Neurospora crassa OR74A: one gene and its partner. The main gene of each other region encodes a partner of the protein of the gene in region 2 in a complex. Links are inferred from orthologs where the notes say so. Each region holds a gene or a part of one and is shown on either strand. Other genes may lie near its edges.

Region 1 (15,771 bases), on a different chromosome or scaffold from region 2:
CTATGCGAACCTGATTGAAGAGAAGAAAGGACAGTGATCCGAAGGGAAAAAGGACCGACGTAGCGCGGCGGCGCAAGAACAAGCAGGCAGATTTAGGAACGGGCCGGATGCAGGGAAGTGTGAAAGGAGAGAAATTCTTTTGGGATATCGGGTGGCTAGGATGAGGTTAGAGCTTAGGTCAGCTTGGAGGTAGGTTGAGCTTGGTAGCACAGGGTACAGTTGCCAGCCAGACAGAGGAGAGGTGGATAAGTATGCATACATCCATCCATCCAGCAAACAAAACCTGAATAGGAACTGAAGCTATCTATTATCGGGATTTGCCTCAGGAAACAACTACCTAACTACAGTACCAGGGTGGAGATGGTATGGAATCGCATGAGCTATCCCGCCAAACTGCTGATCGTCACAGAAAAAAAAAAAAGGAGGTCTCGCAGAAGATCGTTCTGGAGGACCGGAATCATCGGATGTTGAACTGAAAATTGGACGACATGTTTGCGCGCGGTAGGAATGCGCGGTCTATGGTAAGATCACGATGGATGACAGCGGGAGCGGAAGCCCCCAGCTCAACTTGAGAGTGTGAGCCTGGGTTCCCCCAGTCGACTTGACAGTTATGGATGTTGACTTGTCATGGATCTGAAGAAAACAAGGGAAAAGTGACGCTTGTCGGCTCGTCCGGCAACGGCCGCTGTTCTACACTAGTGTACCCAAACGACTGGATGGTCGCGATCTACGCGACAACGGCACGGTGCCTGGCAGGCATCATGATTCGGCGCGAGTCCCTGAACTGCCTGCCCCGGTCAAGTACCGTAGTGTGAATCTCAGGGGCAGCTTATGTCAGCCAAGCTTGATGCTTATCGCAAAGTTCCGCGCAAACGACAATCAGCCCCACTTTATCAAGCCCTGGGGGAGACGTGGGGCTCGGCGTATGGAATTCTTTTGCTCCGGTCGATAAAATTCGGGACCCAAATCTTTTTTTTTCTGTTCCTGGGCTTTCAATAATTTTCAGCACAACGACATCACCCAAGCCCAATTGGAGGAACAGCATGACTGGATCATGAACTGAACTCTGGGTACAAGCATTCGTTATTTGAATGCTCAACAACTGGATCTTGTCGAACAGTGAACATTATTGTCACTGCTGAATGGCCAGGCGCCTTCAAATCCCCATCTTGTCGCCCACATTCTGGGTTCAATATCGCTCCAAAGTGTAAGTCACGACTTCATCATTCCCTCGGCGCGCATGTCCCCAGAGAGTTACCACTGTCCAATCGGCTTTGCCCTTGGACACCCCCAAGTTGCGGTGATGACTCCTTTTGTGCTTAGAGCAATATATCCTTCAGTGGATCGTTCTGTGTTAGCCTCTGTATTAGACTACAACGGTATCTGAGCAACATCACAATGGGGATCTCTCTTGGATGCGCCATGAAAACTTGTCTTCGGTTGACATTGCTGACATCCTTCCTCATCAGGCCGATATGAACAGACACAATGGCTGAAAATATGACCATTGCTACAATGGCGCAACCTAGCGAATCACCGAGTAAATCTGGGGAGGAGGCTCCTGCGAGCACTAACCCCGCGGCAACATCTGCGCCGCCTCGACCCCCCAGAGTTCCCTACCATCAGATCTACAAGCTCCCTGCGCCAATCCGTACTTTCCCGCTGCCCACCTTCTACCCCAGCAACCCCCTTTCTCTCTTTCACCTTGCTGTCGCGTGGTTGAGACAAGTGCTATTGCCTCCGCCCGCCGAACCGTCAGTGATACATGAGGGAATCTGGGATCCCGATACTCGCTCCGTACACGTGAAGGATCCTAAGTCTATCCGCGCTCTGTGGGAACAGGGCTTCTATGGAAAAGGAAGCTTGAGTCGTAGTGAACCCAACTGGTTCAAGAGGGAGCTTAGCCGCCGCGGCCTTGACGGTACAACGGTTAGCGAAGAACGCACCGCGTCGCGCCGTGAAGAACGCCGGCAGGTTAAATGGGAAAGAGCAAAGGCTGAGCTGGAGGCCATCGAGAAGCAAAAGCACGAGGAAGCCAAGCTGAACAGTGAAACTGTAAATGCTGCTATCCCAGAGCCTCCTGCCGCCGAGATTGAGCCCGAGCCTGAAGTTCTCCTTTCCTCTCTTCCTGATCATGTCCTTTCTGCCACATCAACCATCCCGCTATCACGGGCTGCGCCTACGAACGAGTTTGTTCCCAAGACAGTAGCACATGGACATGTCGAGCCGAAGCCACCGGTTGGCCCCCTGGAGCTGCTTGCGCTGCCAAACTCCTATGCCCTTGTCCGTGGCGAGGAACTCGCGCTATCGCAACCTGAGCCGGCACCCACCGAAGAGAATGTGCGCAAAGAACTCAAGGCGCCTGTTGGTCCCATCGAGTTGTTGGCTCTCCCTAACTCTCTGGTCGATCTTGTTGCACTATCAGTCGTATCCGTCTTGAGCGAGGATGCCGGTGTTGATGAAGATGAGTCTTCTACAGAGGACCAGTTGGAGGCAAGTGCCTTGACCAACGACGAACCCGAGACCAGCGCCACCGAAGCCAATGATAGCACCTCTTCCTCGTCCCCTCCTCATACAGACGGACTGCCCGACAGCCAGCCAACACAGGAAAACGTCCCCGCCACTCCTGAAAGGAGGAAGAGTGTTCGCTTCTCTTCCACCGTCGAGTCTACCACCTTCCAGCACACCGATGCAGCCTCTGAAGTCAAGAACAACAACGGGTCTTCTGACGTTGAAGTCTTCTCCTCTTTTGTCTCCGCCGTCGAAAAACCTGTCATCCTCAATGTCGAACCTACCGTAATCTCTCAAGAGTTGGTTGACAAGGAGCACTTCCAACTGGCTCCTGAAGAGGCCTTTTTCTTGACCTTTGGCCTCGGCGCTCTCCGCGTTGTCGACCCAGTTACCGAGGCTCCCATCTCAAACGAACAGCTTCTCATCAAGCTTCGTGCCAACTCTTACTTCCCTCCTCGATCCGTCGATAACCTGAGCCCTGAGGATCCCTTCCTTGTCCAGTATGCCGTCTATCACCATTTCCGCTCTCTTGGCTGGGTCCCCCGTCACGGTATCAAGTTTGGCGTCGATTGGATCATCTACCAACGCGGCCCGGTTTTTGATCACTCTGAGTTCGGTATCATGGTAGTACCGTCATTCTCCGATCCTCGCTGGAGCGAGTTCGAGCACGAGGAGTCCAAGAAAACCTGGTCTTGGTTGATGGGCGTCAACCGTGTGTTGTCCCATGTGCTCAAGAGCTTGGTACTCGTCTATGTCGACGTGCCGCCCCCTCCAGTGTTTGATGAGGAAATGAAGAAGGGTGGTATTGCGGCTGCGCTCAAGAAGTTTACGATTCGTGAGGTTATGGTCAGGCGGTTCTCCGTCAACCGCAACAGGTAGCAAAATTAAGAGGCATGTTGGGGTCGACGAAGCATGGGCACACCTAAACAGCATTGCATGGCGTCTAGGTTTTTCTTTTTGGGTTGTCTGGCAGGATGGGAAAAGGTTACATAGACTGTAGCACCATTTGCATGGCTAGATTTCTAAGTTTTAACAGAATGTTTCGAAAGATATCATGTTAGCTGGTGTACACATGCTGAAATGAGATCGTGCGAATGGGTATAGACTTTTCCCTCACTTCAATCTAATTCTACCATGTTACGTCTTGGCGAGTTTAGAAATCATAAAATAAACGCAAACGCACGCTTCCTGTCCCTCGTACGGAGAAAACAGATACCACGTACGTGACCGTAACTGTGACATATGTTGCTTTTTGTTGCCGTCCATATATCAATTTCTCAAAATCTCAAGATGCGAAAAAGAAAGAAAAAAAATTTGAGAAAAAAATTAGAAAAAAGCAAAACATTGCCGATCCTTGGATCACACCTTCTACCAAGTATATCACACACAACTCCTTCAGATTCCCACAGTACACGGTAGGAGCAAGGGTTAGGGTTGAGCTGTCCAACGTGAAGCTGCATTTCAATATTTCTGTTGTTTTTTGCTATCAGCCGTCGAGGATTTTTGGCAGAACAGGGGATTATGATGTGGCCATGTAAATAGAACCATAAAAACTGGGGAGACTCTGATGGTTCGTCACCGCTAAACAACCTCAATGAATTATTTCTTCCCAAGGGACCCACGTGACGCGGGATTGCACAAAATTCACGAATGGCAGAATAAACCGGGCCTGAAACAGTACAAGTACAACCAAACAAACTCGAGATCTGAAACCTCACAACTTGATAAACGAACGAATCATTTTCAACCGCTCATCACATTATCCCCGTTTTTTTTGTTCAAACTCTTAAAAATTTGGTTTCTTTCTTCCCTTTCGAGAGAACGGCTACCGCCAAGAGAAACCCGCCAAGAGTCTCATCATCCATTGCAAAAGAAACCCGGACTTCGAACCTCATCAAGCCGCAATACTCCAAGAACATCAAGCACCCCATCGGTCCTAGCAAACTAAATTTCATCCACAATGTCAGACCCGAACAATGTCTTCACCCAGCTTTCCGGCTCCACCCCCGCCGACGCCTCCATCTCCAAAGAGCACGGTCTCGCTTACTGGGAATCCGTCAGCGCCGACGAGAACGGCATGCTAGGCGGGATCCCGACCTTCGCCGGCTTCGCCAACACGTCCAAGATCGACCTGCAGGGCTCTCGCAATTTCCTAGCCAAGTTCGGCATTGGTTCTAAGCCAGGCTTGCGCAGGTGCAAGCGCATCCTAGAGGGCGGGGCAGGCGTGGGAAGGATCACGGAGGGCTTGTTGACTGATTTGTTGGTGGTGGATGAGAACGAGGGAGGGAAAGGACCTGGGAAGGTGGATGTGGTTGAGCCAATTGCCAAGTTTACGGCCAAGTTGCAGGGAAAAAAGGGGGTGGGGAAGGTGTACGTGATGGGGTTGGAGGAGTGGGTGCCTGAGGTCGGGGAGGGGGAGAATAAGTATGATTTGGTGTGGACGCAGTGGTGCGTGGGACATTTGACGGATGAGCAGCTGGTGGCGTATTTGCAAAGGTGCAAGAGCGCACTGGCTGAGGATGGGTTGATTGTGATCAAGGAGAACACGACGGTGTTGGGGAATGATGAGTTTGACAAGGAGGATAGTAGTGTTACGAGGTGAGTCTTTTTTGCCCATGAACTCCGTGGTGATGGAAATGGGTTGTTTGAGATTTGGTGGGTGAGACTAACGAAATGCGGTAATGACAAACAGAGGCGAGGCGACATTCCAGAAAGTCTTCCAAAAGGCTGGTTTGAAGGTTGTCAAGGCCGAGTTCCAGAAGGGCTTCCCCCAGACGAGGACCATGAAGCTCCTGCCGGTACGGATGTACGCTCTGAAGCCTTGAGGATCTGGAGAGTAAGAACAAGTACCACGATCAAAGTCACTATACAGCATATGTGGAAACGAGCGACCGACACGGATACACTAGGTTTACCATTATTGAGGGGTTATGGACACCTTCGGTCTACGTGGAATGGTAGGCACCCAAAAGAGAGAAAAGGCCGTCACCTCCAGGTTCCTGACTTCCTGGCATGTCCAATCCGGCATCCAACGTACAAGAAGGCCATTACTATCACCAAACACCACCTTACTGGACCGCCTCAAGGTTGTCTTGGATTACAGATTAGGTTGAGCGGAGCACCAGAGCAACTTGAAATACACTTAAATCACTTCGACAGCTGAAGACACCACTTCTTTTTCCCTTCCTTCCTAGCTGAGCCACTTGAACCTCGTCCTTCTTCTCATCCTACACCCTAACTTGCACAACCCTCCACGGCCCAGCCACATGTTCCCTCCCCCAAACCTCCTCAAGACTCTCCGGTTCATCCAACTTCCCACGGTAGACCTCAAAAGGATTCCTCTTTGGACGCTTCAACGCCTTCCTCAAGATCGCCTTCGCCTCCGCCCCGTCACGTGTAAACACAAACGGAATACTCTCAAATTCCTGAAACAGCGCCTTTTCTTTCCTTTCCCTGACAAACTCCTTGAACGCACGTGTATGTTGCTCCCGTTGTAGAGCCTCCTTCTCCAAAATCCCTGCGACTTCGATAATACGACCCAGGGATGGTGGACGCAGGTCAGGCTGAAGTACAGAGTGTAATTGGTCATTTTCGTTCAGGAAACCGAGGTTTCTAATGAGCTCGAGCAAGAGTCGGGCGTGGGTGTCCTTTATGTCCTGCTGACATGAAGAATTTGGGCCATAGCCCCAGGACCGAGATGGTCCATTACATGTTTCGGGGCTGGCGGACACGGGGTTTGCTTTGTGTCTATGCCTCGACGTTGTCGGATGGTTCTTCTGCTGCGCGATCTGCTTGACCAGATCTCTCCGGTGCGCTTGAGGTCGCGGAACTGGTAGTCGAACACTGCCATAGCCGATATCTCTGGTTGCGCTTCTGCTCATGGACCAAAACATCTTGGTCAAATTACAGTCATGGTCCATGATGAGATCCCATCGACGGCGGGAACCTTCAGGGGCAAGACCCGGTGGCTTGGTTCCCTGCGGCTGCTTATCGAATGGTATCCCGTTTCTAGGGTGAAATTTCCTCGAGTCCAGGAGTGACTGGCTTGCGGTTCGAGCCATACCAAAGTCCCCTATGTAAAACTTTGGGAGAGGGTCTTCCTTGGTCCAGTGAAGAAATATATTGCTGGCGTGCAGGTCGCAGTGGTAGACGGCTTCGTCGCCTCCTTGATACATGACCTCCAATGTCTCGCATATGTGACGGATAGCACGCGCAACTAGTGAGATGGGAAGCTTAGGCAACGGAGCTTGAGGGGCCGTACCGTTTTGGCTACGTGCTAGCCACGGCCGTTGTTCCATGATGTAAGGGTTCACCAGGCCATAGAGGTTTCCACCATTACAGAACTTCCAGTAACTCACTTGGTAGCTCAAATGCCTACCGGACTTCTCGGTCTTCTGGTAAGCAACGACTTGTTCGTAATGAAGAAGGGTGATCCATCTTGGCTGGTAGTTGGCGAGACGGTGGGAACTGGTGAGGCGGCGTAGGACGCTAATCTCGGCTGGCTCGTCATGGTCGAGAGCGGAGGGACATAGTTTCCTGTCCACTTTCTGAACCACCTTTAGGCTTGTCTCTCTGTCTTGGACGAGCTGAGCATGACTTTGGAGTCCGTGACCTAGTTTGCTGACGAAGTAATATCGTTTATGGGGGATGGTGGAGTCAAAACGGTACACGTAGCCGGGCTCAGGAGCAAGCTCACCGTGCTGTTTAATGAGACGCATGATTCGTGACGAACACTTTGGTCTGTGTTCTGGATGAGAATGATGGTGCATAAGATGTCGTGCTTTGATGGCCCCGCCGTCGGGTTCATATATTTGCGGTCATGAGAGTCGGTTAGACGGCGAATGTGAGCGCTCATGGAGCCAGAGAAGCTTTTGGTATGGTTTCGAAAGCTAGGTATGCTACACCCAAAGGTATGAGGAGGCACATACAGGGCAAAATTGCTGATGTTTTTGACATCATATTGATACTGGGAGGAAGCTGGGAAGAAATCAACACTGAATGGTTTATGGCAGTGTAGCAGACCTGGGTAAGCTTGTAAACGAGTCATCATATCTCACAATAGATGCGTAAGTAGGATAGATTACCGCAAAAAGCAGAAGCGCGCAAACTACCAAGAATAAGGAAAAAAAAGAAGCACAAGAACACCCGATGTGTGGTCGACTCATAACTGGTCGGAATTGCTTACTTACTTAAAGGTTAGTTCTGATGTTCCGATCTGATGACAGAGAGGTATCGGTGTTTGTAGCCAATCCTAGAGGTACACTTAGCTGCGAATAGTTTCAGAGTGTTTCGTATTGGGCAAGCGACGATCAACGCATCTGTCTGACTTAGCGTCTCATTGTAGAAGCGGTGGGTCGAGCCTACGCATCCTTTCCGTGGCTTGAAGATAGGTTTTTTTTTTTTCCTTTTTTTTCTTTTTTTCCTCCACATTTTGGGGACAACTTCCTGAATTTCCACGTCTTCGTTCTTCCAGCACATCGATACAGGTGCATGGCATTCTAGCTACCCGAGTACACTTTTGGGTCTTGCGTTTTAAAGTCGTTGCAGGAAGAGACATCACTTGGGTAAGGAAATGGAATGTCACTTGTTTACTACTTCGAACCTGTGAACATTTCACAATCGCCCGGGACCCCCGGGTACCCTGACTTTCTGTAACCGCCCAGGTCTTTATTTCTTCATCGTTAAAGTTCGTGTCCGTAAAATTGCGGCGATGATACTGTGTATCTGGAACCGGCCGGGGTTTTTGACGCTTTATTTAAGTAAGCACGGGTTCTATGGGAGTGTTTGTATCTCTAACAGTCGCCTTTGTTGCTCATTTTTTTGTCTTCTTTCACGCCCATCAACATGATTTGCATGTCCACAAAGCCCAGAACACTCACATCACTGAACTAGTGTTTTTCGATATCACTGTTTCTTATTTTGCGCATAGATGAAGTTCGCCGCTGTGTAACTCAATGTTAGCCCGAGAAAGTCCATGGACCTTTCCGTTTGTGTCCACGACTTACCAAAGGGTACCAGTCCATTCTCAACTGCCCATTCTCTTACACCATGCGTCTTGCCGTGCACCGCTTTGTCGTATCCCCAGCGCTTTCTCTCCTTGGGTTTCGACAAATGCAGCTTCTCGCTCGTTCCATTGACCGGCGCGAGGGCCAAGATGACATATCTGTGCTTTCCGGTCTTTTCGGGCGGAGCCGGGGGTGTATAAGACACGATATCCTCCAAGGTACCGAGTGAATCGGACGAACAACATCCATGGATTTGGGTTTGTTCGTCGCTGATGGGACAATCGGCCGTTACGAGCGGTCCAACAGCAATCCAGTGGCAGAACTCAGACCATTTGGGGTCATCGCGGGACGGGGCATCGGGATCGGTAATGACAATCACGAGACTTGTGCTAGAGTGACGAAGGCATGCTGTAGACGCCACCAAGTCCTTGAGACGAATGGAGGGGGGATCCTGAAGGTCTTTTGGCTTGAGAGTATTACCCAAAGACGCTTTGATACCATGGGACCATTTGACTTTTAAGTCCAAGGTAGGAACGAAGTCATCCATGACTGTATTGGCGATCGTCAACTGCGAGGTCACTCCGGTTTTCTCAACGATGATCCGACTCACCAGTTGGAATGATCTCTGCTTTCTTCAATCTGCAAGGTACGAGTCAGACGGGGTCAAGACTGAACAGCTTACATTCAAGACAAGGTTAAATTAACTGAATCACTTACGCCTTTCTGACTTCATGCGGAAGTTTGGCTGCTTGCTGGTCTCCATTGTCGAGCTCACCAGCCAAAACATGTTGATTTGGGAGGCGGACCAAGCTCGCAGCATAAGCCAACCTGGCGAGCTGGCCAAAGATAACAAGACCAAACGCCAACTTCATGACTGAAATTTGTAAAGGACGAGAGGTTCGAATTCAGTAGGGTGATTGAGATTGTGTTGAAAATGTCTTGTCGTCGATGCTCCTCCAACCCGTGTGAGAACTGGGGAGGTCTTATCAGCGTATGGCCGGCAACTGATAAGGATCCATGATGTCATATGCACACAGCAGTGACTGCATGAACAACGGAAAGAACAACTGCAGCTGGTCGTCTGTGTTGGTCGCTTTTGTGAATCAAAAGGTATGAGTTGACTTTACGCTATTTTCGATCTTCCTCGGGTTGACATTGCCAAGTTAGGAAATAACATGGTGGCATGCAAGCAAGTCTAGACTCATTGCTGCAGGCTTAGGCGTACGTGAGAACCTTGCTGGTGACGGGAAGGAAGCTCGGGCAGGGACCGTACCCGAGACTCTGGAGGAAGGTCCCATGAAAATCTTGCCCGTTCCGTTCCATTCCTTCCCTTCTCCTTCCTGCCCCTGTGCCACCAGTAAGTACGTCCCGATTTCATGCTTTTCCTTCTCAAGGCCCCCCCCCCCCCCCCCCCCCCCCCCTTCTCTCTCTCACATCTGTACAGTACGTAAGTACTGGGACACTTCGATAAGTAGCTCACGACGTACGGTCGATTTGGTCATGCATTGCAATCACCGTCAATTGACTGTCCCGGCCACGAAGCGTCCGGATTCCCAAACGTCCAAAAGTATTCAAATTATTCAAGAGCTGTGAAACATTGGCCAAGCAGCTCATCTATGTCCTATTTCAAACGGTTGTGAAATCAAGCATTTAAGAATAGTCGGTAACAACTCTTACAGTACATGTCACGAAATACCGTTGTAAGCCAAAGAGGCTCGCGGGAAGAGTTCGTGAGACCCCATCCATCCCCCTTCGCATACGGTCCATTGCTTCATCGTAGCCTAGGCGCCCTAACCTTTTCGAACATCTCCGCACCATTATGTCAAAGTCTTCAGATTCAATGGATTCGAACGCCTCCCTCGCGGGCAACCTATGGCTTACTCACATGCGTATGTGATCAATGAGCGTCATATTGTCGTCACAACGTTCATTTGCTTCTCATCGTCCCAAGTCATGAGAACTTCCCCCGCGGTGGTTTTCGCCATGGACTGGGTATCCTGGGATTAACATTAGGGGATCCCTTCTCGTCCGTAATTAGTTAGGTAGGCAGTTTTGCCCCTGCTTGAAGGTAAATGAAATGAATCTCGAGAGAATCTCCCTTTCGCCGCCTCTACGTGCTCGAAGATGCTCCCGAGCAGTGTTCCCTTTATACCACCAAGTATCTTTTCATCACATCCCTTCTTCACCTAGACATCAAGGCAACCACTTACCACAAAGAATGCACAAATTCAGGGACAGGATGTCCTCAATCACTGACAGCGCCGCCGCGCACTTACACCTGGACGGAGTCGAGAGCCTCAGCCGGAGCCATACTCCCATGCACTTCTCCAGACAGTCGACACCTCAGCCTCCCGCATCACCACTTGAGCTTCTCCGAAGACATGTCCATCCTTTTCCCTCGCTCTCCGAAGCCCTAGACGACCCCAAGAAGGACATTTTTCGATACTTCGACTCCTTCAGCTCCGCCAAGGTATTGCTAATTGGCGATGCGTCTCACGGCACTTCCGAGTTCTACGCGTTCCGCGCCGCGCTCACACGCTACATGATCGAACACCATAGCTACAATATAGTCGCCTGCGAAGCCGATTGGCCTGACGCCGAGTCCATTGACCGATATGTCCGTCGGCGCCCAGGGCCGGGCCCACGAGCAACGATCGAGTCCGAAGCCGAAGCGCGGCGCGCAGGGAGAGAACCGAGCTTCATGCGGTTCCCACGGTGGATGTGGCGGAACAAGGAAACGCATGACTTTGTCGAGTGGCTGAGGTGTTGGAACAAAGGGAAAGATATGAAGAAGGAGGCGACTGGATTCTACGGGCTGGATCTGTACAGCATGGGCGCATCCATGCGGGCCGTCATTGCTTATTTGGAAGAGGTGGACAAGGACATGGCGGAGACCGCAAAACGGTGCTACTCTAGGCTGCTTGACTGGTCTGAAGATCCGCACGAATACGGACTGGAGACGCTGGTATCCGGGGGAAAGGGTTTCAAAGGTTATGAGGAAGATGTGGTCCAGGTGCTGCAGAATTTGCTAAGTAAACGGCTCGAGTACGAACGGGCAAAGTGGGATGGAGAGGAATTTCACGGAGGAGAACAGAATGCGAGATTGGTAAAAGGTCAGTTCTTCTTGCGGTTGCGGGTTATCAGATCTGTTACTGACTTGACACTCACCAGATGCCGAACACTACTATAGAGCCATGTATTACGCACGCGATGAATCCTGGAATCTCCGCGATACACACATGTTCGAAACCCTCCAGCGCATCCTCGACCATCGCGGCTCCCACTCAAAGGCAATTGTGTGGGCGCACAACAGCCACATTGGAGATGCCCGCGCTACGAGTATGAGCTGGTCCGCGGATGAACTCAACGTGGGACAGCTGTGCAAGGAGGCTTATGGTAAGAAGGCTTTGGCCATCGGCTGCCTGGGATACACGGGTAAGGTTGCCGCCGCCAAACGTTGGGATGGAGACATGAGTGTTATGCATGTCAAACCAGCCTTGCCCAACAGTTATGAGAGGCTGATGCATGATACCGGTATCAAAAACTTTGTGCTAGACCTGAGGACAAAGCACTGCGACAAGGCGTTGAGGGAAGCTTTGGTGGAGAAAAGACTGGAGAGGTTCATTGGGGTCATCTATGCTCCCGCGACGGAGCGACAGTCACATTACTCGTTTGCTGTATTGCCTGAGCAGCTTGATGGCATTGCTTACTTTGATGAGACTGAAGAGGTGGGTGCGTTGGAGGTTCATCAACCTCCTGGGCCGCTTGAGTTTGATGAGACATGGCCTTTCGGGTTATGAGAAAGACAGGGGTCTAGAATGCACCACCATCTTCACAGCAAACTGTAAACACGTTGGACGTGGTTTTCTTTTTCCCGTGGCTTAGATATGGGTACATCATGAAACATCATGACAAAGATGAATCGGGAAGTTGATGAGGAACACCACATTGCAAGGGGCTTCCCACTGCTTTGGAAAAGTAATTTAACGGAGACTGACTTTACGATGGATTGTAGGGTAGGGACGTACCTCCAGATGGTCATCTGATGTTCTTTAGACATTTGACAGGCATGTGATGTCAAGTTGGTGCACTGCCCCCGCGCAAGCACGGAGTCTTTTCCGGAAAGCGAGGGGAGCATAACGTCAAACGCCCGTCACTGCGGAAAAGTACATTACAGTATGATAAGTAAAAAGAAGAAGAAAAAAGGGCCCTGCATGAGGGAAAGTGCTTGAAAGATCCAAGAAGCGCCAGAGTGTGCGCGCATGATCCTGTTTGCTCCTGCATCTTCCACCACCCAAGCAGCTCTTGACTGGTACGAAGACAGGACAGTCCGATTCATCGTCGCTGCCATCTAATGCTTAGGAGCCCCTCCCCCTTGAATCCGAAGCCCTTTTTTCCACTGTTGTACGCCAGACCGATAGCTACTACCACCTATTACTTAACAAAGATGGACCCTGGAAACCGTGAGCGCGGCCTCAAGGCTGCCATCAACAATCCGCGCGTATCCGAGCAGGCCAAGCAGCGCGATCGCGAGATTTTGGAAAGTGAGTTCGGAACTCACATGCCTGAAGGGCATAGCGCAGATATTGCAGAGGAGGAAGTTCTCGAAGAATTTTCCTCGAGCAAGCTTGGTTCTTCGTCGTCTACTGCCAAGAAGGGTCGTAGCAAGTCGACGGGTTCTCATAATGCTTCCACCGGCTCCAAAACCGAGTCATCCACGTCTGCAAATCTTGAAGGAAAGGACAGAGGAAACGTGTCAGTCCCGATCCACCCACACAAACAAAGTCAGAAAACCGAGATGTACGGTAGCTGACAAGTATGTTTCGCATAGCATCCGCGGACTAAAGGCAGCAATCAATAACCCCAACGTGTCGGAGAAGGCCAAGGAGAAGGATCGCAAGAAGCTGCAAGATCTTGGAGAGTCCATGGACTAAATCATTTCTGCTACTCAACAATGTTCGTTCTGGACCTGGGAGGTTACCTAAGGAGTCAAGAAAGTCAAGGAGGGTTTCAAGGCATATGGAGAAGTCAACAACATCGAGGCATTATGTCATGTTCGTTACACCTACCCACCAAAAGTGAAATTCAGAAACGACGGAATGAATGCAATCAAATTCTATTGATTCAGTTCCTTCCTTTCATCGATCGTTTGTGAAAGAAAAGATGTAGGTAGGTGCGGTTGAATGGCAGTGACCGTTCTTGCATCTCACACGGCGGACATGAGGTAGTAGTGTAAACCGGAACGCCAAGGCTCCATCCCGCTCCCCTTTTCCCGGCTTGCACGGCACGGAGCAGAACATTCGGAGCCGCGGTTCATTGCCTACGGCGGCTTCCCGTTAGTGTCTGTCCTGTCCATGGTATGAAACATTCGGGCCAAGATCCGGTCCGTTCCTTTCTCGTTTGAAAACCCATGCGGTGATATTCAGTGACCGATTGCGTGTAGTGTTGGGTTTGAGAGAAGTCGCCCACCGACCAGCAGGGAAAGTGATCAACAAACAACTTCAAGATCAGTGGCTCAACAGCTTCCAGAAACCCCCGCAGGCAAGGGCAATCGCATCAGATCAGGGTACTCATCGCCGATTCAGACGTCATCAAGGCCATCGAATTTCTCTTCAAACGGGAAGGAAGCCCCCAAACAAGTTAGTTGTAACTGTTAGTTCAGTCATCTACTAACGAATATCATGCAAACTGTTGGCCAAATCTGTTAGCGTCACTTCTCTGGGAATCTTGACAGCCGGTCAACCCCAGCCCGTTTGTCCACTACGTGAGATGGAAAGAGCCCATCCGTGCCACTCACCGAGGACAGAACAACCAGATCAAATAATACGAGCACCTTCCCTTTAATCCACAGTACACCACGCCGACTTCATTTACCACTGGTCCCCAGACGTGACTATTTCAGCTCCCGCCCACCCAGCAACACAACTTCCAGTCCTCCACCACCACCGCCACCTCTATCTCGCAGCCCCAACACCGCAACACAAACATACACTTCCGACTGAGATACAGAAGGCTTCACAAGCACCAACAACGGACGTGACTGTGACGCCAATCAACGACAACACAGCAGCGATCAATCACCAGACACCAACATGAGCACCACCGAGCAACAGCAACTTCCCTCGCGTGAGGAGCTCCAGCAGCGTGCTGTTGAGGGCCACCCCATCACCACCGATGAGGTTTCAAAGATCGCCAAGACGGAGGCTGAGCTGACGGACGGTCGTGGACCTATTGCGGGCGGAGTTGCCGCGACGGCGCAGAGCTTGAAGGCCAAGCAGGAGCACTTCATTGAGGTGGCCAGCGAGGTGTCTCACAAGCCCGTCAACGAGGTCACCAGAGAGGATGCGGCTGCTGTTGAGAGCGCCGAGGTGTGTTTTTTTTCCCTTTTCAATGAACCAGCACCATATCATCACCGCTGCGGTAGCAAATCTAACCGGTTTGGGCTTCCCTACAGGCACGTCTTCTTGGTCACCGTCCCCCCAAGGGATCGACTGCCGCCACGATTCAGTCGATCGCCGACAAGAACGAGAGACTTATGTCCGAGACCAAGGAGGAGTCCTAATTAGTTGGGATTCGTTCGAAGTTTGCTATAATGATTACGACGACACGGTTTGCACATTTAGGCATGGGAGTTATGGAGGATAGGCTTTGGGAGAGATTACACAAGAAACATAGCATATGGACAATGACTAAAAAGTCTGGTGGGAAGAATTTGATTGATTGGGATCACTAGAGACTTACATCAGATATTGCCAACCCATACCAGCTTTGCTAGTACAGCACGATGGGTCCAAAAGAAACAATTTCGACATTTGTAAAGATTGCCTTCCATGAGAGACGAGCCAGCCCAAAGGGCTTCACTTCATCTGACCCAAAATGTCGTCACTGACCATGATAGGGCCAGTAATTTTTTATCTAGACATTATGATTACCAAAACGGCGAAAAGATCAAATGTTGTAAACTCAAATGCTTATTTGCTTGCTATCAAGTTAAGGCAGGTAATCTCTAGGTCATGTCGTCGTTACAAGAAAGTGATCACTCTTCATCCTCCCCTTTGACGTGTAGGTACTTTAAGCAGAGTACCAGTCAACCAAAGCATCCTCGCCAAGCTTATCCTTGATGATACGCTCGCTCAGATCCCAGAGAGCCTGACCCAGAACGGGGTCGGAAGCCTGGGAAGTCTCCTTGCCAGGCTGGTCGGGGTCACTGAAGTACCATCCGTTCAAGTTCTGTTCCTCGATCTTGGGGTCAGTA
Region 2 (16,316 bases):
ATTTGCAGGGCTCTAGGGGCGTAAGGACGATCCAAAACCCGAAGCCCAGGGAGCCGGCAATAGTCCAACAATTGGATCCTCCCGTACACTACAAGACAGCCCTAGATCTCGACCCAACCCCTCTAAGCCACAGTCCAATACTGGTTTGTTTGTTAGCTCGAGACTGACCTCCTGCTAGCTTCCCTAGGCATTTTGGTGTGTCATTGACTCGTTCTGTTCCATGACCAAGGCGTGACCTTACCTTGGATATGCTATTTCCGAGTTTAATGTCATGTTGAATGTTGTTAATAGCCCTCTGATCCGAACCTAGCCACTTAATCTGTCTTTGTAGGGTTTGTGACAAATCGGCATCGATCTGGTCCAGTATACCAGGAGTGCTAAGCTAACCAAAGAACTAGTATTAGATTGTATATAATATTGGACCGTGGGAGAGACTAAAGGTGGATATTTCCGAGGCGAATCAAACCCAGGCACGCCAGGTCAGCAAACATCAGAAAGAAGGGAAGGGAAGCCAAAAATGCCCTATGCCTTGGTAACTTGCGCGCACGAAAAGCGAAGGCCTGGGCATTTGACCCTTGCCATCGTGACATATACGAGCCTATAAGGACTGGGTTGGGAACGGGCAAGACGGGGAGGATCAAGGTGTCAATGTGGCCGATATAGTACATATGCGAGATGTGTGTGTAAGTGCATGTAGACAGCTGAAGGCGCATGGTGGAGGTCGCCCCGAGGTCGCCGACTCCGAAGATCACTCCGCTTTGGAACGTCTTCAGCATTCAATGGCAAGTTGGCGAGCAAGTGCAGCTTGAGCGACAACTTTTGCCTGGGACCAGCACCGAGATCTGATCAATACCTCTCTCTACCTGTGTGTGCCTGTGGATGCGAGTGAACCCCTGTGAGCCGTCGGCATCGGTGCTGTTCGGATGTTTGTTTGCCCCGCACCAAGTCGGGACCCTGTCCACAAGCCAGTGAAAAACAAAAATCCTTTCCTGGTCTATCGGGACGTTGCACAACTTCCTGACCTTGCTCGCAAATGCGGGCAGAGATCATGATGGTGTTGTTAGGACGCGTGTGGTTCCTGATTGATGACCACAATCCTTGGCAGCGCTAGCGGTTCTTCTGATTAAAAAGCCCCAACTGCCCCTGGGGATGCGACTGGGTTGTGCACTTTTGGAGATTCTGACACGCCGGGGCATCCATATGATCCAGCGGTCGTACCTGCCGCAAAACGGGCACACAATCGAGTCAGAAGGTTGCGCATGTCGAGGAGTGTCGCAGCCAGATCTGGGTGACAAAAGTGAGAATGTTCTTTCCTTCGAGAACAAGATATGATGACAGTGGGCCGTGCAGCGCAGGCCACCAGGGCAGGGCCACCCGACACAGCAGACCCCTCCCAGATCAGTGACCGCAGCCAGGCCTTGGACGGAAACCGACGCGGCTGCACGGAGACTGACGGAGAGCAATTGCCCAGACGGGACACCGCGGACCGGGGGGTGGGGGGGGGGGAGGGGGGTTAGCTACCTCTAGGTACCTAGATACCTAATCTGCTTTCGCAATCCCAGTCATGATCAGATGGAAGGTGGTCAATGAGCAAAATTTGCTGCACCCCTTGTGGGTCCGAGTTTTCGGTCCACCTGTCAAAAAGAGGGAAAGCGCACACTGTCAAGGTCGGCCACAGCGACCGGGCAGGGCAGTGATGCGAACAGGGCACTGCAGTGACCACCACCTCGACCACCATACGGTACCTACCGTATTTGCTGACTTCCAGAGAAATAGAAACCCGGCCGTGGGACCTGCGGCGGCATGACAATCTGTGGTGCGTCCACTCGTAGACAGGAATGCATCGAGTCGTGTGCTGTGAGGCGCAGAGGATGCTGCAGAAGGGGCCTCAGGTGCTTCCTTCAATTTCAATGGTGCCTTGGTGTGCTGTGCGCGCGGGTGGGCGGGAGACGTGGGCTGCCTTAGCGCGTTCGATGATTTTTCTCGAAGACGGCCAAAAGCTGGGGCTGTTCGCTGATGGGCCACTGAAATGTCGTGCCAGCGATACCTTTCCCGTTCGTTCGCGCAGCAACTTCCCCAACCGTCCATTGCAAGGCGGCCGACCCTGGCTGGTCTGCCCGCCCATGTCGGGCTTCCTCCCATTCGCTCCTCACTTGATGTTTGGCCGAGCCTGACTGGCTCACAGAAAGGGGGAACACTTGACCCTGGTAGCATCGACCTGGCCTGCTTGCTTCCCTTTTGCAAGAAGCCGTCGCGCGCCGCACACATGGCTTCTCGCCAAGCATGGATTGTGTGGCATCCGTTCTTTTTTTTTTTTTTTTTTTTTTTTTTTTTTTTTTTTTTTTTTCGACATTCTTTCCCTTCTTGTTCATGCTTGGATCTTGACGTAACAGGCCTACCTACCTAGCGGGCGCTGATCCACGCTCAGGCATCGGCCAACCCGAGTGCCATGCCGCGCAGGTTCGGTGGATGAAACCAAAGTGTTGATACTAGTGCAGCGCTGGATGGGTTCCATGATTCCATGCCGGCTTCTACCAGTGTTCGGTCGCCAGGCTCGCGCGTCATCCCAGCTCCCAAGCCAAGGACCATTGAACCAAAGAACGACGACAAAAAATAAAAAATAAAAAAAAATTAGATAGAGTACATGTAAGAAGCGAACCCCGCCCTTGGAAACCCATGCCCATCCAAAGCGAACGGGTCTAGCCTCTCCCATTTTATTACATTTGCGGTTACCAATTGAGCAACCACCACATCTCCATAGGGGCCGTGGCTTTTTCCCTTTCGTCGCCGGCCTCCCTGTCTCTGTCATATTCCAACCACTGCTGCCGTGGCAGCCAATATCGACCAACGGCAAACATCTCCTGTCCAATGTACGTATAGCATCGCCCTGCCCCCCCCCCTCCCTCCTCTTCCTTGTTGATACCCGCCCGCTATCCGCTGCTTCGACGTGGTAAGAGGTAGTGTAGAGGTAGAAGGGAAGGTACCTGGCCTTTGTCACCCACATTCGGGTCCCGTCCCATTCTTTGCCCATTCCAAAGGTACCTTACCTGCCCTCTACTTGCACAGCAAGGTACATGCACCTGTACCTTTGCTTGGCCTGCCTGCCTACCCAGTGTGTGTACCGAGTACGGATACTGCTACCGTTAGCACCTCTCACTGGAAAGTAGCGAGTTCTAAAACTCCTTCCACGCCCTCCCCTATCTCTTCTCCCGTCTATGTCTGCCACCACCTCCAGTCATACGCCCTAGGCGATTCCATCCTTCCTTTTTGTTTCTTTGCATCCTCCTCGTCTTCCAATTTCCCCCGAGTCTCAGTCCGCCTGAAGCACGACAACAACCACCCGTTACATGTCATCAACTACCGACTACCCGCGATTTACGGCACAATTGTCTAGACGCGCATGCCGTCGTCGCCGGGATTCTGTTCAATCTGACCTTCTGTGCGTCGCGTTTCTAGTTCCTAACCACCCAGGCAACTCGACCTCGATCGGCCCTTTAGCAGTCTCCTCGCCTCCTTGAGCGTCTCGAAAAAATCATTCCTACTCGTCGGACACCACAATTCCAGTTTTGTTTTTCATTGTCGCAAATATCGCCTGCCAGCATTTCCAGTCCACTTTTGAAACTCGTGCCGAGACTTTGGAGTTTGCATCCCTCGCTATCGCACCGATCACAACCGCCTCGCCTTCGGAATAGAGAAAACCGATCCAAAATTAAACCAATTAGTGGTTGCGTCAAAAGAGGCATCGGCGTCCAAACGCTGTCGGAGTTGTCTTGGCCTATTGCTGGTCCCTTTCCCCGAGGCCAAAACAAGCATTGGCTACTTTCAGTGCGTCGGCAAGAAACCCAAGCATTCAAGGTTGTGGTTTTGGACAGTCATCTTTTTTCGGCACCAGAGTGCAGTCGCAGGGAGACTGGTCACTACCAAAAGTCAACATGGATATCATGGAGGAACCACAAGTTGCCATGGAGGACATCCACTACCGTGTTATATACGTCAACCGCTCAGTATCCGAGGACCGCTGCATCCAACGAAGCGCAAGGCATTTGGACGAGTATGTTGCAAAGACGGAACCAAACTGCATTGCCGACACTGTGAAGTGCATTTTGGAGATTTTTCCAGAAGGTTTGCGGGGCCGCTGATATCCATCCTTTCATGTCGACCTTTTGTGCTAACTGTTCGGACGCAGCTTACTTGTGCAGCACTGAGGGTGCCTGCATGTCCCACTGGCTCCAGCCCCAAGAAGATCACGAGGCCGATCTTCAACCAACGATTATCCTCCTAGACACCCCTTACCAGCAGTTCTTCCCGGCCCAATTTCCGAATGAACGCAGGGACGAGAGCCACGATGGCAACTCGTACGGCCTCTCGTTACTTAAAAAGATCGAGTCCGAAGCTCGTGCTCGCCATCTCTACGAGCAGGTTATACCTGTCCCACTCATCCAATCACCCGACGCCATGAACAACATCAGTGGGGCAGATAGGACGAGGATGCGACAACAATGTATCGATTTTGGGGCCAAGGCAGTCTTGTCGGGTCCCCTGAATGCTAAGAGCATCGCAGTGATTCAAGACAGGGCATATTACGCTTACAAGGACGCTCTTTCAAGGAAACAAGCATTGGCGGACGTGCGTAAGGGCAGAAAACGATCACTGATCGCTGTGTTCAACGATACCCGGCCGTATGGTTATCTCCGTGAATACCTCGTGGAGAGTTTGATTAAGAAGATCTGCAGCACGGAGGACGACAGAGATAATGAGATCTATAAGGCCAATATCTCGGTATGCCCAGAGAAGCGAGCTGAAATCTCCCGTGCCATCAGCACATGGCATTTCGATGCTCACAAATTTGACTACGACGAGCTGATAGTCGCAGCCGAACTCACACTAAACCATGCCTTATCCATGCCAGAGCTAAAGGCATTTCGCATCTCGCCAACGCAGTTGCAAAATTTCCTCAAAGCTTGTCGGGCTGCTTATATGGGTTTTGTGCCATACCATAACTTTCGACATGTTGTCGACGTTCTACAGGCAACTTTTCAGCAGCTGCTCCGGATTGGCGCATTGCCTCCTTATCCAAACGTCAACGGTACTCATACAAGCCCAATCGCAGAATCTCCTGGAACACCCTCCATAGGTCCGGAAGAAGCCTTCACCCTTCTCCTTACTGCCATTGGTCACGATGTTTTGCATCCCGGTGTCAACAACGGCTTTCTGATCGAGGCACGAGCGCCTCTCGCAGAGCTTTACAACGATCGCTCAGTCCTGGAGAATTTCCACAGCACCAGCTACTGCCAGATTCTCAAGCGACATTGGCCGATCTTTTACGAGAATAGGCGTCTGCGCACGTTGATGATCAGTTGTATCCTGGCTACGGACATGGCCCTGCATTTCGACTACATGGCAAAACTCGGAAACTTGCAAAAACTTCAAGCTCAAAAACCTGATCTTGACGGTTGGAATGAGAAGGCTGTCGACGAGGCGAGGGTGCTAGTGTGCGCTCTTATAATCAAGTGCGCTGACATCAGTAACGTCGCACGGAGACACGATATCGGTGCACAGTGGATGCACCTGCTGAATGACGAGCTTATATTGCAGACTCAGATTGAGATGGATATGGGTCAAAAAACGGCACTTATCGCTCCACCATCGACGAGCCTTGACGGCCGGATCAGGTCCCAGCTAAAATTCATGGAATTGTTTGCCTTCCCTCTGTTCCGAGGCGTGGCAGATATCTTGCCCGGTCTACAGTTCTCCGTTGACGAAATGGAACTCAACCTTACTCACTTTGAGAATGAACTCCTACTCCCCTCGGCAGGATCGACGATGGAAAACCAACCTGGCATCTCTAAATATAGCCCCCCGCCGAAATGCGATTCGGAGCCTCCAACAGAAAAAAGTGCCCTCGATGGAAGACCTAACGGTGTGCTTCCCAGTCTTACGACTACCGACTTCTCCCGTGGAGGTGCCGGGTTACACGGATCGAATCGTCAGCGATGCAGTGAGGCGACCGAAGGCAGCTCAGCACCCTGCTCGGGAGAGTGGGGTTCGCAGGCAAACAGCGCGACGACGGGCAAGATGCCGCTCTCGCCTAGTACGCAGGGTACGAGCATCATCAGCAGGGACTCGATGGACAAATCTGTCGGTGTTCCTATGACGACTGTCACAGCCCCAGACTCTCCGACTGCAATTCCTGAGGCGACCAAGATGTCTTCGGACCGAGATCAGCTGCAAGTGAACGAAAAACTCGATCATTTTATAAGCGATGACGAAGATAACATGTCTAACGGAAACGGTCACATGAATGGCAGCGGATCGACATTAGGACAGGAATATCTGAAACCGGAACAAGACACCGGCAACGGTAAAACGATGAGGAAGAAGGCGAGCCTGATGGGTCTCAAGAACAAGTTTTCGTCCAAATTCTCCTCGTTCACCAAATCGAAAAAGGGAAAAACATCATGCCCCGCAAGCCCCGAAAGGTCAGCAGATCCGATGGGATAGAGCACCATCTCTCTGCTTCGGCTTTCGTCGCCGCCTCCGAAACAAGGTAGCATGCCTGTCGTCCCGGCAGATGATAACGATGCTACGCTCTCGGATTCTTCACCCGATATCGTCAAGCGCGCAAAGAAATGGAGGCCTCGACCCAGCGGCTCATGAAGCTTTCCGCTGTAGATCGTGCAACATCGATAATACCGCAATAGGATTTGATGGTGTTGACGCAAAGTGTCTCCCTTTCCATCTCATCTTAGGGGTGTTGTTGAGACGCCTACCCTCGTATCACTGCCGCTGCTGAGCCCGGTTGCAATTTATAGAATCGAGGTTCGCGAGATTCTTACGAAACGCCAGCCTGTGGCCCATTCATCATTGGCTCCACAAGTCTCAATACCGACCACAAACCCTCTCAATTGGCATCGATGCTGGTTGACACTGGCCTACTGGACGCCCAGAGATTATGAGGAGTGTCAGTGTCGTCCCCCAATCGGAAGGAAGATCATTTGTTCTGGTTGGGTTTGTGGACCAATACACGAAGTTTCTTTTTATTCACATTCGGTTGCTCATTATTCGGTTGGGACAGTAAGGGGTTGGAGAGAAAAGATGCATTTATGATTATTGATTGATCGAGTTGGTTGGGATTAGGAAAGGATGCACCGGCGAAATTACACACGTATACACATGATTAGGAAAGGCAATGGGAGGGGGGGGGAAAGGGGAGAGGGGGAGAGAGCATTTTTACTGTCGGCTTTTTCTTCTTCTTCTTTTTTTATTTTTTCTATTCTTCTTCTACTTCTTCGTTTTCTTCTTGTTGGTTATTTATTCTTCCGAGTTTGTTTCACACAGACATGCTTTTTTGTGATTACTTTTCTTCTTTTGTAGGAGGTTTCACTACCACCATTTCAATCTTCCCAAGAGCGAGGGGAAAAGAAAGAGAAAGAAGCTCGACTCTATTCTGGGCTCATCCGAGGAAACAAAAGAACTCGCGAATTCTACTTCGGTTGTGTCGGTGTATTAGTAGAGGTTTGCATGGGACTTGCTTCATTCTTATCACTTCTTTGTGTGTTTCTTTTCTTCTTGTTTACCTGTCTTGACAAAGACTTGACCTTCTACATGATACCTCCTTTTTTTTGGCTTCCTTTTCCGTCTGTCATTTTGTCTTTTTTTTTTTTTTTTTTTTTTTTTCTTCTTCAGTTGCATGGTTCCTTCTTTGGCTTGGTTTGGCTAGGGCTCATCGTCATTTGGATTATCATAACAAGATTACTAGCTGCTTAGACTTCCCGGAGTTCAGTTCTCATTTCAACATACCCAACCCATCCATCAACCATTGTTATTTTTATCATCCTCCTACGTGTCGTACCCTCCCTCTTAATCGACCCAGTCAGTTTTTGATATGAGGAAATGAGGAAGAGCTGAGCTGAGCTGAGTGGTTGCCAGTGAACCAAAGTATCGTAAAACAGAATGATGTATGACATTACCATCTTTGACTTATTCTTTTCTACTCGCTGCCTCTGCCTCTCCTCAAAGAATCTGCTCGTCTGGTTTGTATGAGACTGTATGCGTTCATTCTTGAACCCGACTTCCTCGAAAAGCCAGACAGCTACCGCTAAGTCAGCAGACCTGCCTCTACGGACACAAGACAGCAGTGTCCAACGCCCTCGCAACTAAGATCCCCTAGATAGAGCGTGTTCTCTTATACCACGAACAATGATTACTATAAGAAGCACCACACAGATCGGATGTACGTTTTCTGGTCATCAGTTCTAAGCACACAAATTCAACAACGCGAGATATCGGGTTTAAAAGTGGAGACGGGCTCAGCCAAGTCGTCGAAATATATCTGACAGTAAATTGGAAGCAAGAGACAAACATCTGCGCATTGTTCCCTTTGTATTATTCAACATCATGATGACTGTCCATACTTGGCTGTTCAGGTGGACTGTCAGAAATGGTGTCCATGAGCTTAGGAGTAGTGTTTATTGACAATAAAACAAATTTCATTCTGTATACAAACTCTACCGGGTGCTGTTCATTACGCCACGCTGGGTCTTGTCTGAACCATCAAACAGACGCGAGCTCTCTGACACTAGCCAAGGGAATCCGTAAGGTCCCGATGGTCTTTACCCTCGTTGTATACACACGCCCTTGTCGTAACCAAAACCTATTCCGTATCAATCATTATCCATCATACACTCATAAGATCCCCGATTGCCGGTCGCGATTCCTGTTAGGTCAAGAACCTCTTACTGCTCGAACCATTCACCGCCCAACCACCTGTTGAGGAAGTCAAGCGAGTTCTCAGGCTGGTCCATTGGCACCATGTGGCCAGCCTGGTAGATCTGCATGAAGGTGAAGTTTCCGGAGGACTTGACCTTGCCGTACTCCTTGTCAGCCTTGGGAAGAGAGAGGTCCTCGAGCTCAGCCTTGTTGAAGCCGTTCTTGCCGGGCCACTCAAGAGCCTCGCTCCAAGCCTTGTTGCCGAGCCAGTTGCAGATGAAGTCGGCATCACCGGCATAGATGAGAACGGGGATCTCCTTGAGGATGCCGGGGACGAGGCGATGGAAGGGCTGCATCCAGTCACCCTGGAAGAGGAAGTTGCGGTTGATATCAAAGTTGCAGCTCTCATAGCCCTCAACCTCGACGCCGAGAGCGTCCATGACATCCTTCTGGTTCAGGTAGTCGCTGATCCAGCCAAGAGCGCTATAGCAGAGGTTGCTATCATCCTCGCACTTTCCACGGATGTCATAGACGTTCTGACCAGTGCGCTGGTAGGGGCCGATGAACTGATTGTTACAGTAGATGGCGGCAGGAACGCACGACCAGACACTGCCGCTCTCGTAGCAGTTACGGATAAGAGACTGGCATCTGGGGAGGGCATTGTCCATGCTGCGGCACTCGCTCTCGCTGAGAACGGCGGGGTAGCCACCTTCGCCGCAGGCCATGGGGCGGTAGTGCTCATACTGGGTAAGAGGATCAGTCAAGCCATTACCAATAAGGACGGACTTGAGATTGATGTTGCGATCCTTGTGGGACAAGATCTCGGAAGCAAAGACAGGGATGTAGTGACCAGCATAAGACTCGCCAGCAATGTGGAAGTCCTGCTTGGCATACTCGGGGAACTGGTGGAAGAAGAGGGTAAGGAGAGCATAAACATCCTTGCCGGCAGCGACAGTGTTGCTGACGGCGTTGCCGGAGTACGAGTACCCGACGTTGACGGGCTGGTCAAGGAAGATAACGCTGGCGTTGTTGTTCCAAGCGTACTCGTTGCTGACAACCCTGAGCTTCTTGTCAATGGAAGAAGGGCCGAGCTCAAGGAAGAGACCAGTGAGCGAAGAGCAGCCGGGGCCACCGTTCAACCACAAAACGACGGGGTCGTTCTTGGGATCGTTGCGAGACTCGAAGAACCCTGGACAGTCCGAGTCAGCACCGTGATTTTTACTAACCAAGTACATTCGAGCGTGATTGACTTACAGTAGAACAGGTGCTTATCGTTCTCCTCGTCATCAAGGTAACCGCTGTACTGCTTGACCTTGTCGACGCCGAGCTTGGAAGGATCGACCGACTTGACGCGCAGGTTGAAGTTGTCGAGCTGGCCGCCAACCTCACGATGCTTTTCGCCATCGGCGCCCTTAACCCACAGCTTTTGGACATCAGCGCCCTTGACGACGTGGTCCCAGTCCTTGCGGCGCTTAGCAGCCTTGGGCTTGCTGAACCAGGTGGGCTTATCGAAAGCATTCTCAGGAACAAGCAGCTTGATCTCGTCCCAAAGGGCCTTGGCCTGGGAGTTCATGCCATTGAAGGCCTCCTCAAAGCTTTCAAGGGTAGTGTGCGCGAACGAGTCGGCGACGGGCTTAACGGCGTCATGGGCCTTGTGAAAGTTGTCGGCAAGGACATGCTGGGCCTGGTTCTGAAACGAGGCGGCCGAGGCGGCCGAGGCAGCCCCGAGGAGCACGGTTGAAGCCGAGATCCTCATTGTGATGATGTTAGGAGTATTGATGTTGTGATACAGATGGATGATGAGAAGAAGATGGAAGAGGGGAAGAGGAAGGAAGAGGAGGTTGATAACGGAAATGGATGGGCAAGCAACTGCCAAGGTAAAACGCCCCGGAACCGAGCTTCACCGGACGCGGATGCAGCAGAACCCCCCAGGATTTGGGGCAAGCTGGCATGGGATTGGATAGACGCTGCGCCGCCACATGAGTGCATGCCTGGGTATTGGTCAGGTACCTTGCAGGGCGGTCACGCTGGTCATGAGAACGGACGCCTAGCCGATCAGCCAGACAAAAAAATCACCAAACGCTTGTGAAGAGGGCCGCCTATAAGGCTCTCACCGCCATGTGTACCTCTTATTTTCTTGTACAGTTTGGCCTCAAGACGTGGCGCCAATCAACCTGGTATCAACCTATCTGTCTGATAAGCTACCTTTCGTCATTGTCTCAACCTCGCCAGCAAGGTCGCCTCGATGCGACTCCATGTCCACCGCCCGACAACAACTCACTCATTTCCTTCTCATTGCTGAATTATTGTCCATGTATGATACTCCAAACTCCGGATATAAGAATGTTGTTCCCAGGAGGAGATGATAATCCTTCACGGAACTCCAGTAGATAATCCTCATGAGTCGCGCATTATGCAGCGTGATACCCCTGAAAGATATCAGACGAACGGTGATTTTGTGCTGCTTTCCTGGCAAGTTCAACTCGAACAGGCGCCAGCTTCAGAGAATATGTGATAATAGTAATGAAAAATGATCCCTTGCAATTTGAATGACTTTGACATCCATTTCCTGTCTTCAAAACTGAAGAGGTCTCACTTCGTGTCAGTCTTTATCATGTTGAATATCTGACAAACCCGTCTCCAAGCGTGATGTTATGGTATCGATAACAGAAAGACCCACTGACTCATCCGATGGACAAATGGAATTCCCGCATCGCGTGCTTGACAAGTCCGCTTTTTGCCCGCCGTCAATCGTCATTCGGCTAGGGATCCGATGGGGCGGCCCATCCGTCCATCAGAGGGGACTGGGGCGGTACGGCGGGCAGGCGGGGCAGACTTTCAAAGCCCGCTCTGCAGCGGAGAAAAGTGGAAGCTGCGGGCGACCAAGAATTTCTGCTCCACGGGCATATCGTTATCTCTCTTACGGGCGCATTCTCAGAGAAACTGCAGCAAGTCAACTTGTATGCCCGGTTTCTGGAAACATATCAGCTACTCAGAAAAGCCAGTCCAGCATCCTATATACCCGACTGTTACTACCTTCGAAGCTATTTTCAACGGCTTCATTTCCCGGAGAATCAATACCGTCGAACCATCGAATTATACTCTTTTCACGACAACTACACAACCACCGCCAAAATGGTGATCCAACAGCCCTCCAACCAGATCAAACTGACCAACGTCTCCCTTGTCCGGCTTAAAAAGGGCAAAAAACGCTTCGAGGTTGCCTGCTACAAGAACAAAGTGCTCGAATGGCGGTCCGGCATCGAGACTGACCTCGACAACGTCCTGCAGATCCCCAACGTCTTTCTGAACGTGTCCAAGGGCCAGACGGCGCCGACGGCCGAGCTGCAAAAGGCGTTTGGCAAGGACACTTCGGTCAATGACATCATCCTGGAGATTCTCAAAAAGGGCGAGATGCAGGTGGGCGAGAAGGAGCGCAGCGCGCAGCTGGAGCGCGTCCATAACGAAGTCGTCTCCATTGTCGCCAGCAAGCTGGTCGACCCGCGCACCAAAAAGGTCTACACCACCGGCATGATCGACAAGGCGCTGGACATGCTCAGCTCGCAGGCGCATCAGCTACAGGAGAAGGAGAAGGAGAAGAAGGATGCGGCCGCGAGCGGTACGGCGTCGCCGGCGACGGGCGAGAGCGGCGAGGCGAAGCCGCAGCCTACAAAGTCCCTACCCATCTGGACCGGTGTTTCGACAAACAAGAGCGCAAAGTCGCAGGCGCTGGAGGCCATGAAGGCGCTCGTTGCCCATCAGCCTATACCCGTTGCCAGGGCGAGGATGAGATTACGCATCACTTGCACGACCAATGTGCTCAAGCAGGCCGTCAAGGCTCCCAAGGGGGAGGCCAACAAGGATGGCGAGGAGGGAGAGAAGAAGGCACCCGGAACGGTCAAGGACAAGATTCTCAGCTTCGTTGAGCAGGTTGAGAGCCAAGATGTCATGGGCCAAGAGTGGGAACTGGTGGGCTTCGTAGAGCCCGGTGCTTTTAAAATCTTGTCTGACTTCATCGGAAGCGAAACCAAGGGACAGGGAAGAGTAGAGGTCCTGGATATGGCCGTCACTCACGAAGATTAAAGCCATGACTTCGTTTCTCGATTTAACTGGCTGATACTCTCTGGGTCTTCGTCTATGGTGGTCTTGGTCACATACATGGGGTGGGCGTTATGGCATCGAAAATCATAGTGGGTTGTTTTAGGCAATGGATTTAATGGATTTGCGTGTTTCACGTCCATAGAGACCGAATAAAAATGCCAGTAAATCATTTTCCATATCCACGCCGTTTATTGTCATGCTGTCAATGATGTGTCTTCCATTATGCGAGTTCCCCCATTAGCCATAGGCTACCTAGAATCCAGATACGCGCAAGGCGAAACAATTCAGTCCCAGGTGTCCATGACTGCCCGTCTTGGAATAACACCACCAATAACCCAGAAAAAGCAGCGCCGAATATGCCCGCACAGATTTAGTTGCCCTTCTTCTTGGAGACACCGACGGTACGACCGCGGCGGCCAGTGGTCTTGGTGTGCTGACCGCGAACACGGAGGCCCCAGTAGTGACGGAGACCGCGGTGGGCGCGGATCTTCTTGAGGCGCTCAAGATCGTCACGGAGCTTGGAGTCAACACCGTTGGCGAGGATCTGAGAGTCCTTGCCGTCAACGATATCGCGCTGCCTGTTGAGGAACCACTGTAGACAAGGTTAGACGACGAAGTCATATCGAGTGAAATCCGTTCAAACGTACAGCGGGGATCTTGTAGGCAGTGGGGTTCTGCATGATGGTGACGATGCGCTCAAGCTCCTCAGAGGTGAGCTCACCGGCACGCTTGCTCAGGTCGACATCGGCCTTCTTGCAGACGAGGTTGGAGTAGCGGCGACCGACACCCTTGATCTTGGTCAAGGAGTAAACGACCTTCTGCTTGCCGTCAACGCTGCATAAAAGTCAGCGTCCATATTCAACATATTGACCCTCCTCTTGAAAACGGTTCTGTTCCGGATTCGCGATATGGTTAAGATCATGAGGTGCCTGAATGAACATACTTGGTGTTGAGCAGACGCAAGATGTGGTTGAAGTTGCTCTGAAAAGACTGTTAGCATCCGAAAGCGTCTTAAAGAATATCCGGTCGAAGATCATGCATCCCAGCGCTTGCTGGTTTTGGTTCTTGGTTCTGCCGTGTTGTTCTCCTTTGGCTGCCGCGATATCCAAGCATCGGTCGTAGAGCTCAGTGCTCAATCAAATGCTCATGGTCGCGTGCTCGTATTGCCATCTCTATTATCGCCCACCGCATGCGTACTGTGTCGAATATCAATCTCGCGTCGTCAAAGGCCGTGTCGCTCGTCTTCATCCTCGGTCTACCACAGGCTAACTGCAAAGCCATATCCACTTCCATGCCTACACATCGCTTGAAGCCGCCATCGGTATTCGGAAGCCGGCGCATCGATGAACCGTTTGTTTGTCGCGACATTGTCATGGGACGCCACTTCCTTGTATTTTCGCGTTGAATCGTCTCGTATTTGCATCGGTTTTGAAGGTGGGCAGCGACGCCAGCTCCTCACTCGTGATGGCATCCCCACGGCGCCAGAGGATGAACAACGACCGCAGCCAAGAACCTCGGTTTTTTTTGGGCAACGCATGATCTTCTTCGGGAGGAGATGAATTTGCAGGATTGCAACATACCTTCTCGCCGGACACCAGAGACATCTTGGGCAATGATTTCGAGGATACCGCCTCGATATTGTCTGTGCTGTGTGTTCGGTCGCAGGTTCGTGGGAAGTGCTCCGTCGAATTCGAGCCCAGATGGTTTTCGAAATTTGTGCGTCACGTGGCGGGGCAAAAGTGTCGTGCAATGCTGTGAATGAAGCAGATGGCTCGTGCACGGGCAGGTGCCTGTCAGTTGCCTGTAATGTCTTGATTCAAGCATGGCCTTGACCCTAACCCCGATTCTCGCTTGCCCCTTCACTTCGCGAACCTCTGACGTTCAGCAGTCCTTCACCTCAACAGCAAATCGTGTTCACAACGAAGTTTCGCAGGTTTAACACTTCAACCAGTCTACCAGCCACCTGCCTTGCGATGTGATCTCCTGTAGATATCGCGTTTCAGAGCACTTCAATCTGTATAAATCTGTCCCAAATACAAACGGTTTGGCAGAACAGCAACTTCTTGCAAATGCATGGATATTGCCGGTGACCATATCTATCAAAGTTAATGAAGCGAGTCTCCAAATGCGTTCAGCCTGCTCCAACAGCCAGAAGTCTGTGGAACCAGAAATACGCTCGGCCACCGCTCAAATGCCAGAATAGCCCAACCGAGAATGTCGTAGTAGGCGACACAAGCGCCACAGTGATTACAGCTCCAGATGTAACAGAGCCCTGAGAAGGAGGGGAGTGTATCTGGGAAGGATTGAGAGCCACGACATGAAGCGAAGTTTCAACTCTACATTGTTCCTAGCTGTGATATTGTCCTTTTCCATCTAGGAAAGGTCTCTAGAGGCAGAGATCTGCTCGAACTCATGGCATGAGAGTTTGCAACTTCGGTTTTTGCTCGTATCAATATCGGTATAAATTTGCTGCAAAGGATGTCAGTGTTGATGGTTGACGTAAAAGTGTTGAAGTATCAAGGGAACGGTGCTAGGGCGCAGTAAACAAGATATCTGACAGCTGCCAGGACCTTTTGGCAATTGGCAAGGCAAGAAATGTCTAAGTGGGTCCACATTGAACTTCGAATTAACACATTTTTCAGCAAAACCTCACCCTTCCTAATTTCATCACCCGTTGGCAACTCAAAGACAACTCAAAACGTTAAAGCTTCCACGTCTGGTGAACTATATGCCGACACGTCACGTCTTTCTTATGAATGTAGGCCAAAAGCAATGACTACCATTCTGCTACCAAGAGCCAAATCATCGACCTAGCTGGGGCACAAAAGCCTTATGCGGAATGTGTCTCTGTCTTCCCAGGTTGAGGACGTTAGTTCGACACGATAAACAGTAGGTTCCAGTGCCGTCCATAACTATGTCTTGTGCGATGCCGTCTTATGCCTGATTCGGTCAACTATCCTGCCCTGGGGTTGATCTTGAGCCAGGATGCGCCTCCTTGCGAGCTGCGTACTAGACAAGAATAAACTCTGTGACGTTCATTGAGTGCGGAACCTTCTTCTTTCCCTATGGAGGCTTTCGCAATTTCTCGTTGCAACATCTTCCTTCCCAGTTTGACGTTTTTGTCCTCATGAGTCGAGACCCTGCTGCTGTATATCGACTGCTGGCTTGAGATCGAGATCCTCCCCCTTATGTGATCCATTCAGCCCCTGACATCTACAATTCTCCATATACTCGTTCAAGGTATTCGGACATCGCTCAAACACATCAGCGAGAACCCAACAGGTTGTCATTATGGCTCGCTTCCACATGCCCAAGCGCTTGCACTTCGGTCATTTTCCGCATTCCTCCACCTGAATGACCTGGCCGCCCAACCCCCTATATGGCATCCACGCCCAAAGCATGGCTGGCACGACCGCCTCACCCTCCCGAATGTTATTCCCTAGTCGAGCTCGGGGACGCGGAGTTTGAAAATTAGTAGCCCCTGGAGATTTGCCCGCTCTTCATCC

What was found.
Region 1: the proteins of NCU00477 (region 2) and NCU01112 are in contact, whole or in part, in a crystal structure (PDB 1WPX), measured with the Saccharomyces cerevisiae proteins. The link is inferred for Neurospora crassa OR74A from reciprocal best matches to the Saccharomyces cerevisiae genes PRC1 and TFS1. Residues at the interface, in NP_014026.1 of Saccharomyces cerevisiae: Gly164, Ser217, Ser221, Ser257, Tyr258, Leu289, Arg327, Leu331, Val341, Trp342, Val345, Pro346, Thr348, Ile349, Tyr350, Asn352, Asn353, Leu356, Ala357, Gln360, Arg361, Val366, Tyr367, Cys373, Asn377, Cys379, Cys409, Asn410, Phe411, Asp412; in NP_013279.1 of Saccharomyces cerevisiae: Met1, Asn2, Gln3, Ala4, Ile5, Phe7, Ala10, Ser11, Asp13, Ser14, Lys17, His18, Ile35, Ala37, Val38, Glu39, Pro45, Val46, Ala47, Met48, Gly49, Asn50, Thr51, Gln62, Phe63, Gln64, Thr66, Asn68, Gln70, Phe133.

What each region holds. Positions count from the first base shown.
Region 1 is NC_026505.1:2,939,704-2,955,474, reverse strand, and holds NCU01112 (lipid binding protein), read right to left. Parts: upstream 9,490-15,771; 5' UTR 9,389-9,489; coding exon 9,234-9,388; intron 9,156-9,233; coding exon 9,127-9,155; intron 9,066-9,126; coding exon 8,517-9,065; intron 8,454-8,516; coding exon 8,416-8,453; 3' UTR 7,934-8,415; downstream 1-7,933. Other genes in the region: NCU01115 (tRNA-splicing endonuclease subunit SEN2), read left to right, coding at 1,489-3,390; NCU01114 (DUF858 domain-containing protein), read left to right, coding at 4,472-5,109, 5,204-5,336; NCU01113 (hypothetical protein), read right to left, coding at 5,739-7,229; NCU01111 (erythromycin esterase), read left to right, coding at 10,834-11,629, 11,688-12,316; NCU01109 (hypothetical protein), read left to right, coding at 12,871-13,271, 13,348-13,450; NCU01108 (hypothetical protein), read left to right, coding at 14,609-14,884, 14,971-15,078; NCU01107 (short-chain dehydrogenase), read right to left, coding at 15,588-15,771. UniProt on the Saccharomyces cerevisiae protein: Specific and potent inhibitor of carboxypeptidase Y.
Region 2 is NC_026503.1:3,983,837-4,000,152, reverse strand, and holds NCU00477 (carboxypeptidase Y), read right to left. Parts: upstream 10,694-16,316; 5' UTR 10,466-10,693; coding exon 9,964-10,465; intron 9,899-9,963; coding exon 8,736-9,898; 3' UTR 8,277-8,735; downstream 1-8,276. Other genes in the region: acon-2 (aconidiate-2), read left to right, coding at 3,933-4,122, 4,187-6,501; NCU00476 (UPF0023 family protein), read left to right, coding at 11,845-12,792; NCU00475 (40S ribosomal protein S18), read right to left, coding at 13,181-13,402, 13,458-13,644, 13,754-13,791, 14,391-14,414; NCU00474 (hypothetical protein), read right to left, coding at 16,250-16,316. UniProt on the Saccharomyces cerevisiae protein: Vacuolar serine-type carboxypeptidase involved in degradation of small peptides. Digests preferentially peptides containing an aliphatic or hydrophobic residue in P1' position, as well as methionine, leucine or phenylalanine in P1 position of ester substrate.